3 linked regions of the Mus musculus genome follow. The protein of the gene in region 2 interacts with the protein of the main gene of each other region in a pairwise test. Links are inferred from orthologs where the notes say so. Each region holds a gene or a part of one and is shown on either strand. Other genes may lie near its edges.

Evidence for each region.
Region 1: the proteins of Sf3a3 (region 2) and Zfp212 interact in binary tests that used the Homo sapiens proteins (3 or more experiments, as listed by UniProt). The two-hybrid records come from large-scale screens. The link is inferred for Mus musculus from reciprocal best matches to the Homo sapiens genes SF3A3 and ZNF212.
Region 3: the proteins of Sf3a3 (region 2) and Trim69 interact in binary tests that used the Homo sapiens proteins (3 or more experiments, as listed by UniProt). The two-hybrid records come from large-scale screens. The link is inferred for Mus musculus from reciprocal best matches to the Homo sapiens genes SF3A3 and TRIM69.

Annotation. Positions count from the first base shown.
Region 1 is NC_000072.6:47,926,999-47,930,651, forward strand, and holds part of Zfp212 (zinc finger protein 212), read left to right. Parts: intron 1-21; coding exon 22-148; intron 149-2,051; coding exon 2,052-2,132; intron 2,133-3,653.
Region 2 is NC_000070.6:124,714,068-124,717,786, forward strand, and holds the start of Sf3a3 (splicing factor 3A subunit 3), read left to right. Parts: upstream 1-793; 5' UTR 794-827; coding exon 828-923; intron 924-1,201; coding exon 1,202-1,249; intron 1,250-1,584; coding exon 1,585-1,637; intron 1,638-1,742; coding exon 1,743-1,848; intron 1,849-2,383; coding exon 2,384-2,456; intron 2,457-3,719. UniProt on the Homo sapiens protein: Component of the 17S U2 SnRNP complex of the spliceosome, a large ribonucleoprotein complex that removes introns from transcribed pre-mRNAs.
Region 3 is NC_000068.7:122,174,139-122,177,791, reverse strand, and holds part of Trim69 (E3 ubiquitin-protein ligase TRIM69), read right to left. Parts: intron 3,553-3,653; coding exon 3,530-3,552; intron 3,443-3,529; coding exon 3,318-3,442; intron 1-3,317.

The sequences.
Region 1 (3,653 bases), on a different chromosome or scaffold from region 2:
TCTTGTGGCTTACAATTGCAGGTATCTGGGTCCCTTGAGAATGATGGAGTCTGTTTCTCGGAGCAGGAGTGGGAGAACCTGGAGGACTGGCAGAAGGAGCTCTACAGAAATGTTATGGAAAGCAACTATGAGACGCTGGTGTCTCTGAGTGAGTGAAAGTTTTCTCCCTAAAATTCTCTCAGAGCTCTCCTGACTGCATGTCATCCTCTGAATCTTCTGCTGAGCTAAGGAATGATACCCTTCAGGTCCTCTCACCTGAAGAGACTTGAAAGTGTCTCGGGGATGAGCCTTTTATATTTCTTCTCTGGTAACAAAATGGCTTCTTGAGACTATTTGAATATCATTGATAAACTATAATATAGGTTTTTAATAACATCTCTATAAAGTATTTTATTAATTAGTTTCCTATCACTGTGTAAGAAACTATGACCGAGGCAGCTTAGAGAAGAGAAATGTATTTGGGGTTTATGGTTTCAGAGGGTTAGAGTCCTTGATGGCCAAGCAGAGATATCAGGGGTGGCAGTGGCTGGAACAACCCTGAGAGCTCATATCTTGAACCTCTAGCAGGATGCAGAGAAGACTAACTTAATCGAGACTTTAGAAATCTTAAATCCTGCCCCCATTGAGACGCCTCCTCTAACAAGGCCACACCTCCTGTTTCCAAACAGTTCTACCAACTGAAGACCAAGTTTTCAAACAAACGAGCCTAGGGGGCCATTCTCATTCAAAACACGATGTGTATATGCTATCTTTAATATTTAAGATTATTTGATGAGAAATCTTTTAACTTAGGAACCATTAAATGGATAGAAGTGCTTTCCATGCAAGCCTGATAACTGTCATTCGATCCCTGGAACCCGTGATGGGAGGGGACAACTGACTCCTTAAGTTGCCCTGTGCCACCACATGTGCACTGTGTTGCAGATGTATCCAGACTCTTAGATAGCATATACATATTATCTAATAATAAATAATAATATTTAATAATAAAATAAAAATTTAAAGGAATCTTGTATCTTGAGATGAGACATGCAGCACAGGCTGAAAAAAAACCTTTTTCTTGAGCTGGAGAGAAGGCTCAGCTGTTAAGAGCACTGACTGCTCTTTCAAAGGTCTTGAGTTCAAATTCCAGCAACCACATGGTGGCTCACAACTATCTGTAATGGGATCCAATGTCCTCTTCTGGGGTGTCTGAAGACAGCTACAGTGTACTTACATATAATAAATAAATAAATCTTTAAAGGGGGGGGGTGGCTGGAGAGATGGCTCAGTGGTTAAGAGCACTGACTGCTCTTCCAGAGTTTCTGAGTTCAATTCCCAGCAACCACATGGTGGCTAACAATCATCAGTAATGAGATCCAATGCCCTCATCTGGTGTGTCTGAAGACAGCTACAGTGTACACAAATACATAAAATAAACTCTTAAAAAAAAACCAAAAAAGCAAAAGCAGAAAAAACCTTTTTCTTGGCAGTAAGCCAGAGTCATCACCAGCCACTGTGATCTGCACATTGTTGGTAGACTGGAAGCACTGTGTGGAAGTGTTTAGTATAAAAATTACTAATACATACTCGATAATGCATGCATATTTTTCTTCTAAGACAAATTCTTTTCAAATGTGGGTCCTTGGAGAAATACCAAGGAGGCCCCTGGCTAGACCACAGTGAGGGCAAGGGAAGTGGGGTGACTGTTACCCCAGATGGGTTACATGCTCTCTTTGAGGCTGTTTTCCTGTGCCACGGTGCCTCCACAAGGCTGGAATTAGGCACTGTGGAAGGAATCCTTGGCGGAACTTCAGCTGTCTGGACAGAGGTGGGGGTGTTAGGGAGACAATGGCACCTAAGCCTAGTTACCTTAATGAAGGATCAAAGAGCAGCAGCCTGACAGTCCACTGGCCAGAAATGTCTAGGGAAAAGTGACAGTAACATCAGCTCTTATGTCCTCTTAGCTGTTAATATTGATTTGCTGTTAATATCATTTGTACATTGGCATCTGATCAGCATGCAGTAAGTTTTTCTTCTCCTGGATTTATACTGTATTTTTTCTAACCCAGAGGTCCTTGGCCAGCCAGAGGAAGAAGTGGAGTTGGGTGCAGAGATGGTGGGTGACTTGGTGGAAGAAGGTACCCACCTGGGTGAGTAGTTCTAGAATGTTCTTCTGCATTGTTTCTCCATCCCTGTATGGGAACTCTGTAGGTTCCCATAACTAATAGGGAGCTTTCACACGGCTGAACTGGCACGTGCAGGTTGTGGACTTTTGTTTGGTTTTTAAAGGTTTATTTTTATATGTATGCAGGGATGACTATGTGACTGTGTTGGTGGGGGGTGGTTATCCACAGAGGGCAGAGGAGGGCATTGGATTCTCTAGAGCTGGAATTGCAGGTGACCGTGAGCCACCTGGTGTGGGTGTTGGAAACAAGTGCTCTTGTTTAGTGGCCATCTCTCCTGCCTCTGCTTGTTTTCGAGGCAAGTCTTACGATGTAGTCCACAATAGCCTAGATTCTTTGCAGCTCAGGCTGACTTTGAACTCATGATGCTCCCAATTCTTCATCCTGGGAGGGATTACAGTTAAGAACTACCACAACCTTTTTAGGTGACTCTAACAGCAGTTCTCACCTGTGGGTTGTGACCCCTCTGGGGATCGAACAACTCTTTCACAGCGGTCACCTAAGACCACTGGAAAACACGGATATACATTATGATTCTGAACAGTACCAAAATTACAGTTATGAAGTAGCAATGATATTAATTTATGGTTGGGGGTCACCACAACATGAGGAACTATAAAAGGGTCACAGCACTAGGAAGGTTGAGAACCACTGCTTTTTAACTGTTATAGGTCTGCTAGCCTTTGTAGTGGTGTAGATTGTGTAGCATGCTTTGGCATGCACTATAAGTAGTAGGCATAATAGGCTGTGGTCAGAGTGAGAGATGGAGAATGAGTAGTGAGTCACAGAGAGAGAGACACTAGGAAAGGCATTTGAGCGGAATATCCAGGAAGAAAACTGGCTATGTGATCATTGTATTGTATTATCTGTGTATGAGTGCTTTACCTGTATGTAGGCTACATGCTTACAGCAAAGAGGTTATCAGGCCCCTTGAAACTGGAGTTACTGATGGTTGTGAGCCACCATGTAGGTGCTGGGAATTGAACCTGGTCCTGTGCAAGAACAGCTGGGACTCTAACTGCTGAGTCATCTCTCCAGCCTTGGATGTGATTTTTAAATTGTATGTTTAGTGAGTTGAATGCAGGGCCTTTCGCTAGGTCTGCATCTGCAGCTGGGCTTCATTCGCAGCCTCTTTTTTAAAAACCTTTTTAAATTTTTCAGATAGGGTCTGAGTTGCCCACAGTGGTCTTAAACTCTCTTTGTAGCCTAAGCAATCTAGTAACTTGTGATCCTCTGAGTAGCTGAGATTATAGGCCTGAATCACCAGGCTCAGGTTCAAATTTGTTACTTTACCAATTTTGAATTAATCAGTTGTTAGTGTATTTTGTAATTTTTTTCCACAGAGATTAAGTACCAGTTTGTAGACAGGGATGGAGAAATTATAACAAAGTTGTTCTCTATGAGTAAGCTACTCAGATCTCTTCCAGATGGTTCTCATTCAGCTGTTCCTAAGGAGTGTTGATTTGAGCCTTCTAAAGTCTGCAGTAT
Region 2 (3,719 bases):
AATTGGGGCTGGTGAGATGGCTCAGTGGGTAAGAGCACCCGACTGCTCTTCTGAAGGTCGGAAGTTCAAATCCCAGCAACCACATGGTGGCTCACAACCACCCGTAATGAGATCCGATGCCCTCTTCTGGTGTGTCTGAAGACAGCTACAGTGTACTTTACATATAATAAATAAATAAATCTTTTAAAAAAAAAAGAATTACAGAGAATCAGAAGTTAACCTGTGCTGAACAGCAAGCATATCATTGCTTGAGTGTACCACGTTTTTCTTAAAGACTCCTCTGCCAATAAACAAAGGTTGTGTTCAAATATGTATGAGTTTTATTAAGAACAAACCCACCACCATCTCCACTTTACTGACAAACACACTAAAGTCCAGACAAGGGGAAAACATCACCAGAGGTCACACACTGAAAACTACTGCTGCTTCCAGTTCCCCTTTCCGTTCTGTATCCTTCAACTTATCCGTTCCTGCTAGTGTGTCCCTGCCGGCCCAGCTTTCTGCAGCAAGCCCCGGGCAAGCCAGCTGTCTCTCAACCTCAGCCTACAGGATTCTTGCAGGCTTCTTAGAGACAGCCAGCTTTCAACGCGGAGGCAGCGCTCCTTCAGACCCCCAGCCAGCAGGGGGAAGCGTAGCCACGGTCGCGGATAGCACCCGCTTGCTCTCTTCGTGGTGTTCCTTTTTTCTTGAGTCCCCCAAGACACTTCCGGGACACGCGGAACTTTGGTGCAGCCGGATGCTGCGCGCTGAGACGCTGGCTGAAAGGCGGCAGGCGGTGTTTCCGGCAGTGTTAGTGGTCCGCCTTGAAACGCCGTGGCCAAGGGAAAATGGAGACAATTTTAGAGCAGCAACGGCGCTATCATGAGGAGAAGGAACGGCTTATGGATGTTATGGCCAAAGAGATGCTTACGAAGAAGTCCACGGTGAGTGAGCCGTGGTCCGGGCCGCATCAGGAGGCGGGCCTGGGTCCTTTGCCGAGCCCTCGCGCTGTATTTGGCCTCGGAGCTTCTCTGCGCCCCATCCTCACCCTCCTCCTAAGCTGGCTCGGCACTCTGGCCTCGTTAACGTCCTCCGAGGGCCCCTCAATCTTCCTGCTTCAGCCCCTGGGACCTAAACCAATAAGCGCATCACCCCTCGGGTGCTCTTTCCAACTGCTAAACTCAAAGTAACAACGTATGTGTTACCGTTTGCCTTTCTGCAGCTTCGGGACCAGATCAATTCCGATCACCGCACTCGGGCCATGCAAGATGTGAGTGCGCCGCCGTCCGCTTCCCCTGGGGTCGGGCTGGGCGGGAAAAGTGCAGGCTGGGAAGGTTGAGTGGCCCTGCGTGATTTCTACCCCTGAGTTCTTAGACAAGCCCCTCTAGGGTACCTAATCAGATGTCCTATCTCTGCCTCCCAAGTGCTGGGATTAAAAGTGTATGCAACCACCTCGGGATCAAGCTGTCTCTTAAAAGTGGTGGAACTTTGAAGACCATGTATCTCATGAGTTTTCCTTGGGTTTTGCCAAGACATCCTTTCTTGTTTACTTAGCCCTGTGGTACAAATTTGCTTCATTCTGATGGCTTTGCGCTTCTGTTTCAGAGGTACATGGAGGTCAGTGGGAACCTGAGGGATTTGTATGATGATAAGGACGGGTAAGTGACGGTCACATCCCTTCTAACAATTAGTGCTTTTGAGGAGCCCTGGTGAGACCATGGGCTGTGTGCTTTATGCTCTTCGGGTTTGTTGATATCTTGCAGACTGCGGAAGGAGGAGCTCAATGCTATCTCAGGACCCAACGAGTTCGCTGAATTCTATAACAGACTCAAGCAGATAAAGGAATTCCATCGGAAGCACCCAAATGAGGTAAGGCCTCCCAACTTAGTGTCCTTAGACCTGGCCGTTAACAAAAGGGAAAGATGCAAAGGAAATGGAGCTATGCCATGTAGATGTCACTCCAAGAAAGAACGTGCCACTTCACTGCATGTTAAGTGACATCCTCTTGGCATCCCTCTGCAGTAAGAGAACACGGTGAAGCACTAGGGCTGCTTCACAAGAATGTCTCCTACTCAATATACTGTGCACCTAGCTCTGCCCTGAAATCTACCAACACAGTGGTGCTCTGTTCACTTGCAGAGGTCGTTACCCCTTCAGGATTCATGTCCAATGCCAGCTTTTTCGTAAAATATCTCTTGGACTGCCTCCTCCAAAGGAGCCCTTCCTTAGCATGCTGTGTTTTGTGCCAATCAATGTCTGCCCGGCTATGCAGCAAGGGAAGTGGAGAACACTAAGTAGGCAGCTCTGTACACTCAAGGTCAAAGCCAAAGCAAGTCTTAGAAGCCCAGGCCTGTGTGTGCCTGAGACATCGCCAGGCCCACCTGAACTCTTCTCCTTCCCTCAGATCTGTGTGCCAATGTCAGTGGAATTTGAGGAGCTGCTGAAGGCTCGAGAGAATCCAAGTGAAGAGGCACAAAGTAAGTAATGGTTACTGTTTCTTCCTGGGGCTTCAGGCCATTCTCAGCTATAGAGCTAGGACCTATGGCTTGGTTTTTTTTGTTTTGTTTTGTTTTTCAATCTGTTTTTATTTTGTCTGTGTGGGTAATTTGCCTGCATATATGTTTGTATACCGTGTGTGTGTGTGTGTGTGTGTGTGTGTGTGTGTGTGTGTGATGGCCTCAGGAAGCCAGGAGAGGGAATTGGATCCACTCCGACTGGAGTTACAAATGGTTTTGAGCTACCGTGTAGGGACTGGGACTCAAACTCAGGTGCTGTGCAAGAGCAGCCAGTATTTCTAAATGCTGAGCCACTTCTCTAGGTCCTAGAACGTCGTGTCTCTAAAAACAAATAAATAAAGGCTGATTGTGGTGGAGTATACATTTAATCTCAGCTCTCAGTAGTTCTCTGAGTTAAATAAATGCCAGACCTTTTATTTTTTTAATTGTATGGTGAGTTAACATCTTTTTTTTTTTTTTTAATTTGTTTATTTGTATCTGCATTGGTGTTTTGCCTACATGTATCTGTGTTTGAGGATGTCAGATCTCTGAGTGGAGTTACAGACAGTTGTGAACTGCCATGTGGGTGCTAAGAATTGATCCCAGGTCCTAATGAAGGCCACTCATTGCTCCTAACCATTGAGCTATCTCTCCAGCCCCATTTTTTTGTTTTGTTGTTTGTTTTGATGTGACAAGGTGTCTCTGTATAGCCCTGGAACTCACTCTATAGATCAGGTTGGCCTCGAATTCAGAGATGGCCTGCCTCTGCCTCTCTAGTGCAAGAATTAAAGGCGTTAAAAGTGTGTACCACTGCCCAGTTTGCTTTCTCTCTTCTTTTCTTTTCTTTTCTTTTCTTTTCTTTTTTTTTTCTTTCCTTTTCCTTTCCTTTTCCTCTCCTCTTCTCTTCTCTTCTCTTCTTTTCTTTTGTTCTTTCGTTCTTTCTTTCTTTCTTTCTAAAAGATGGGATCTCAGGGCTGGAGAGTTGGCTCAGTGGTTAAGAGCACTGACTGCTCTTCCAGAGGTCCTGAGTTCAATTCCCAGCAACCACATGGTGGCTACAGTATGCTCATATAAAGATAAGTAAATCTTTTTTTAAAAAGAAAGAAAGAAAAAAAGGGATCTCTCCATGTAGTACTGGCTATCTTGAAACCTGTTTGGACCAGGCTGGCCTCAGACTCACAGAGATATGTGCTAATAATCCTGGTTAGTCTGTTTATTAGTTTGTTTGTTTAATTGTGTATGTGT
Region 3 (3,653 bases), on a different chromosome or scaffold from region 2:
TTTATAAAGCCAGGCTTGCCACACACCTTTAATTACAGTGCTCGGGAGACAAAGGCAGGTGGATATCTGAGTTTGAGACCAGCCTGGTCCTACAGAGCAAGTTCCAGGAGAGCACTGCCTCAAAAATCCAAATAAATGAATAAGTAAATAAATAAATGAGATAAAATCAGGCTTGTACTTTGTTTTTGTTTTTGTGTTTTGTTTTGTTTTGATTTGTTTTAGTTTTTCAAGACAGGGTTTCTCTGTGTAGCCCTGGCTGTCCTGGAACTCACTTTGTAGACCAGGTTGGCCTTGAACTCAGAAATCTGCCTGCCTCTGCCTCCCAAGTTCTGGGATTAAAGGTGTGTACCACCACTGCCTGGCCTCAGGCTTGTACTTTGTAAAAAATCTTTAATTTCACAATTGTAAGTAATTAATTTATATTGTAGTCTATAATAATAGAATTCCATGACAGATGAAGTTTTTTTTTATTAAAATATGTAGAAGCTAACATAGTTTGCCTCATATAAATAGACTCATGATCACTGGAGTCTGGGAAGGTTAGAAGGATAATGGATAGCAGGTACAAAAGGACAAGGAGATAGATGTTAATTTCAGAATTTTATAGCACAATATGGTAATCATAACCTGCAATAATTTATTATATAGATGTACATATATGTTTTAGTGGCTTGATTTGGTTTTGTTGGCAGTGCTAGAGACTGGACCCAGGGCTTTGTACATATTAGGCCAGCACTCACTTCCTGAGCTATAGACACAGACTTTATTATATATTTTTAAACAACTGAAAGGTCTCCAAAAAAAGTTTCCAACACAGAGAAGTGTAAATGTTTGAGGAGATAGAAATTCTGTTTACCATAGTTTAATTTTTATATGTTGCATATGTGCATTGGATATTATATTGTATCCTATAAATATATATACAAATACCATGTGTCAACTAAAATTTAGTTGAAGCAGTAGTACACACCTGTAACTCTGAAGGTTGAAGCAGAAAATCCTAAGTTCAAGGCCAGCCTGAGCAATATAGCAAGATCCTGGTTTTGCTGTTGTCGCTGCTGTTTAGGGTTTTAAGTCAGGTATATGACTATAATCCTAACGCTTGGGAGGTGGAAACATCAGGATCAGGGGCTCAAGATCACCCTTGGCCACATAAGAACTCTTGGCCAAGCCGGGCAGTGGTGGCGCACTAGGGAGGCAGAGGCAGACAGATTTCTAAATTCTTGGCCAGCCTGATCTACAGAGTGAGCTTCAGGATGGCTAGGGCTACACAGAGAAACCCTGTCTCAAAAACAAACAAACAAACAAACAAACAAACAAACAAATAAACAAACAAACCAACACCAAAAAAAAAAAAAGAACTCTTGGTCAGCCTGAGCTAATGAGAAACTTGTGGCTGGATGGAAAGACAGCGCAGCGCTTAAGAGCACATAGTCCTTCTCTTGCAGAGGAGCTCTGATCCGGCATCCACATCAGACAACATACAACTGCCAGGGGAACCAATACCTTTTCCTGGCCTCTGTTAAAAGCCACACTCAGGAAAACAAATTCATACACAGACACACTGTTTTGTCTTGTTTTGTTTTGTTTCTTTAAATCCCTTTTAACAAGCATGGCTAATAAAGGATTTGTTTGTTTATAATTTATGTTAAGACAATCAACAAAAGTGTGGTCAAAAGATTAAATATATTTCACCAACTAGGAATGGCAGAGAAGCACATGGAGAGGTTTTCAGTGGGATTGAACATTAGAAATGTATACATTTAAAAAATGAAATGTTACTATATTTAAGCTTAAATAGTTATAATTAGAAAGATTGACAATATCAGGTTTTTTAAGAATGTAGAAAAATGGTTTCATCATTCATTGCAGGAGGAAATATAAAACAATTTCTCCATTTGAGGAAGAAAAAGAATTGACAATTTCTTATAAAATTAAATGCACATCTTCAACCCCACTACTAAGTCTTCACCTCAAAGATCTGTAAACAGATCCACACAACTTTATTTATTATAGCCTGAAGTGTAATCTCCCCAAATGTCCATCAGCTGGAGAATAGGTAAACACATTGTGATGTATCCATTAAACAAAATTACTGCCATGTGCAACAAAGGTGAATCAAGGGAAGCACTGTGCTTTGTACAAAAGTCTAGATACAAAATACTGGCATGTGTGATCTGCATTAAATTAAAAATTCAAAAAGACACATCAAACCTGAAATAAAGCAGATTAGCAAGGAGTAAGGGCTGGAGCTATACAGAAAGAACTAATTGCAAAGAGACTTGTGGAAATGTTCAAGCGCCTGTGTGTGTGTGTGTGTGTGTGTGTGTGTGTGTGTGTGTGTGTGTGTGTGTGTTGGTGTGTGTGTGTCTTTGTCTGTGTGTTGTCTGTGTCTGTGTGTGTATAGGTATGCCCAGAGATGTGCATGTGGCTATCAGAGGTCTCCTATAAGTATCTTCCTCATCACTCTCCATCTTATTTTTTGAGGCAGGTTTCTTACTGAATCTGGAATTCACTCAGCCCAACTGTCTGGCCTGCAGATCTTATAAGAACTACATTTTTCCCCAACCTCATCCCCAGTGCTGGGGCTACAGTTGTATGCCGCCATGCCTGGCTTTTTACGTAGGCACTAAGGATCCAAACTCAGATCCTTGGGTTTGTTCAATGCTAAGCCAACTCTCCAGCCCTCATCTATCTCTGTCTTGATCACAGAGATATTTACATGTTTGTCAAAACTCATCAGTTTGTGCACTGCATATATTTAGGTAAAAGTGGCAGATTCTGCTATATTAATTATACTTCAGTGAAGTCAGTTTCTTTCAGTGTTAGTCATCTGGAAAATGTATCAGGGATATATTTATGATTTTAACTAGGTTAATAAGAAACAATAATATTAGATATATGACTTCTATAAAAGCTATCTAAATTCTTATTTTTATATATATCTTATCTAGAATATTATTTCTTTTTCTTGAAATAATACCACTTGTGTTAATCTTGTCCTGTTCAGTCCTCTGATATCTGCAAGAATTCATACAGCTGATGTAGCAAAACAAGATAAAATTGTGGCTAGTTCCACACATTATAGATCAAACAAAATCAGGCTGAGGAGTAATTCTAATATCAGACTTTTATGTATTATTAGTTCAAAGACACATATTCTTAAATCATAGTAGCAGGAGAAGAAGAAAAAGATCTTTTTGACTAAACTCCACCCAAGTCCATCTCCATCCTCTCTCAAACTACAGAACTAACTCTGGCCACAGATGAAATATAGATTAGGGGCCATAGGACTCAATAGCTCCTTCCCACTATACCTGGAGAGAGAATAGCCTGCATTTCCTTCCAGATGATATACTGGATAGGACCTTTGAAGCGGCCTAGGCTCAGCTTTTTGGCGATGAGCTGTCTAGGTACAATTGTCTTCATTCCTTTCTCCATGCTGTAAGGGACACACAAACAGTTTAGTTTTAGACATTCTCCAGGGGTAGAAGAAGGAGGGTAGAGAGAACCATGAAGAAACACTTGCCTCTCTATGAGCTTTGTGATGTCCTAGAAGAGAAAAGAAGAAATAGAGAAGTCAGATGCCTGTTCATCATCTCTAGGAACTTCTCTGGTTATACTGAAAGCCATCCAGGTTTGATCATCAATAC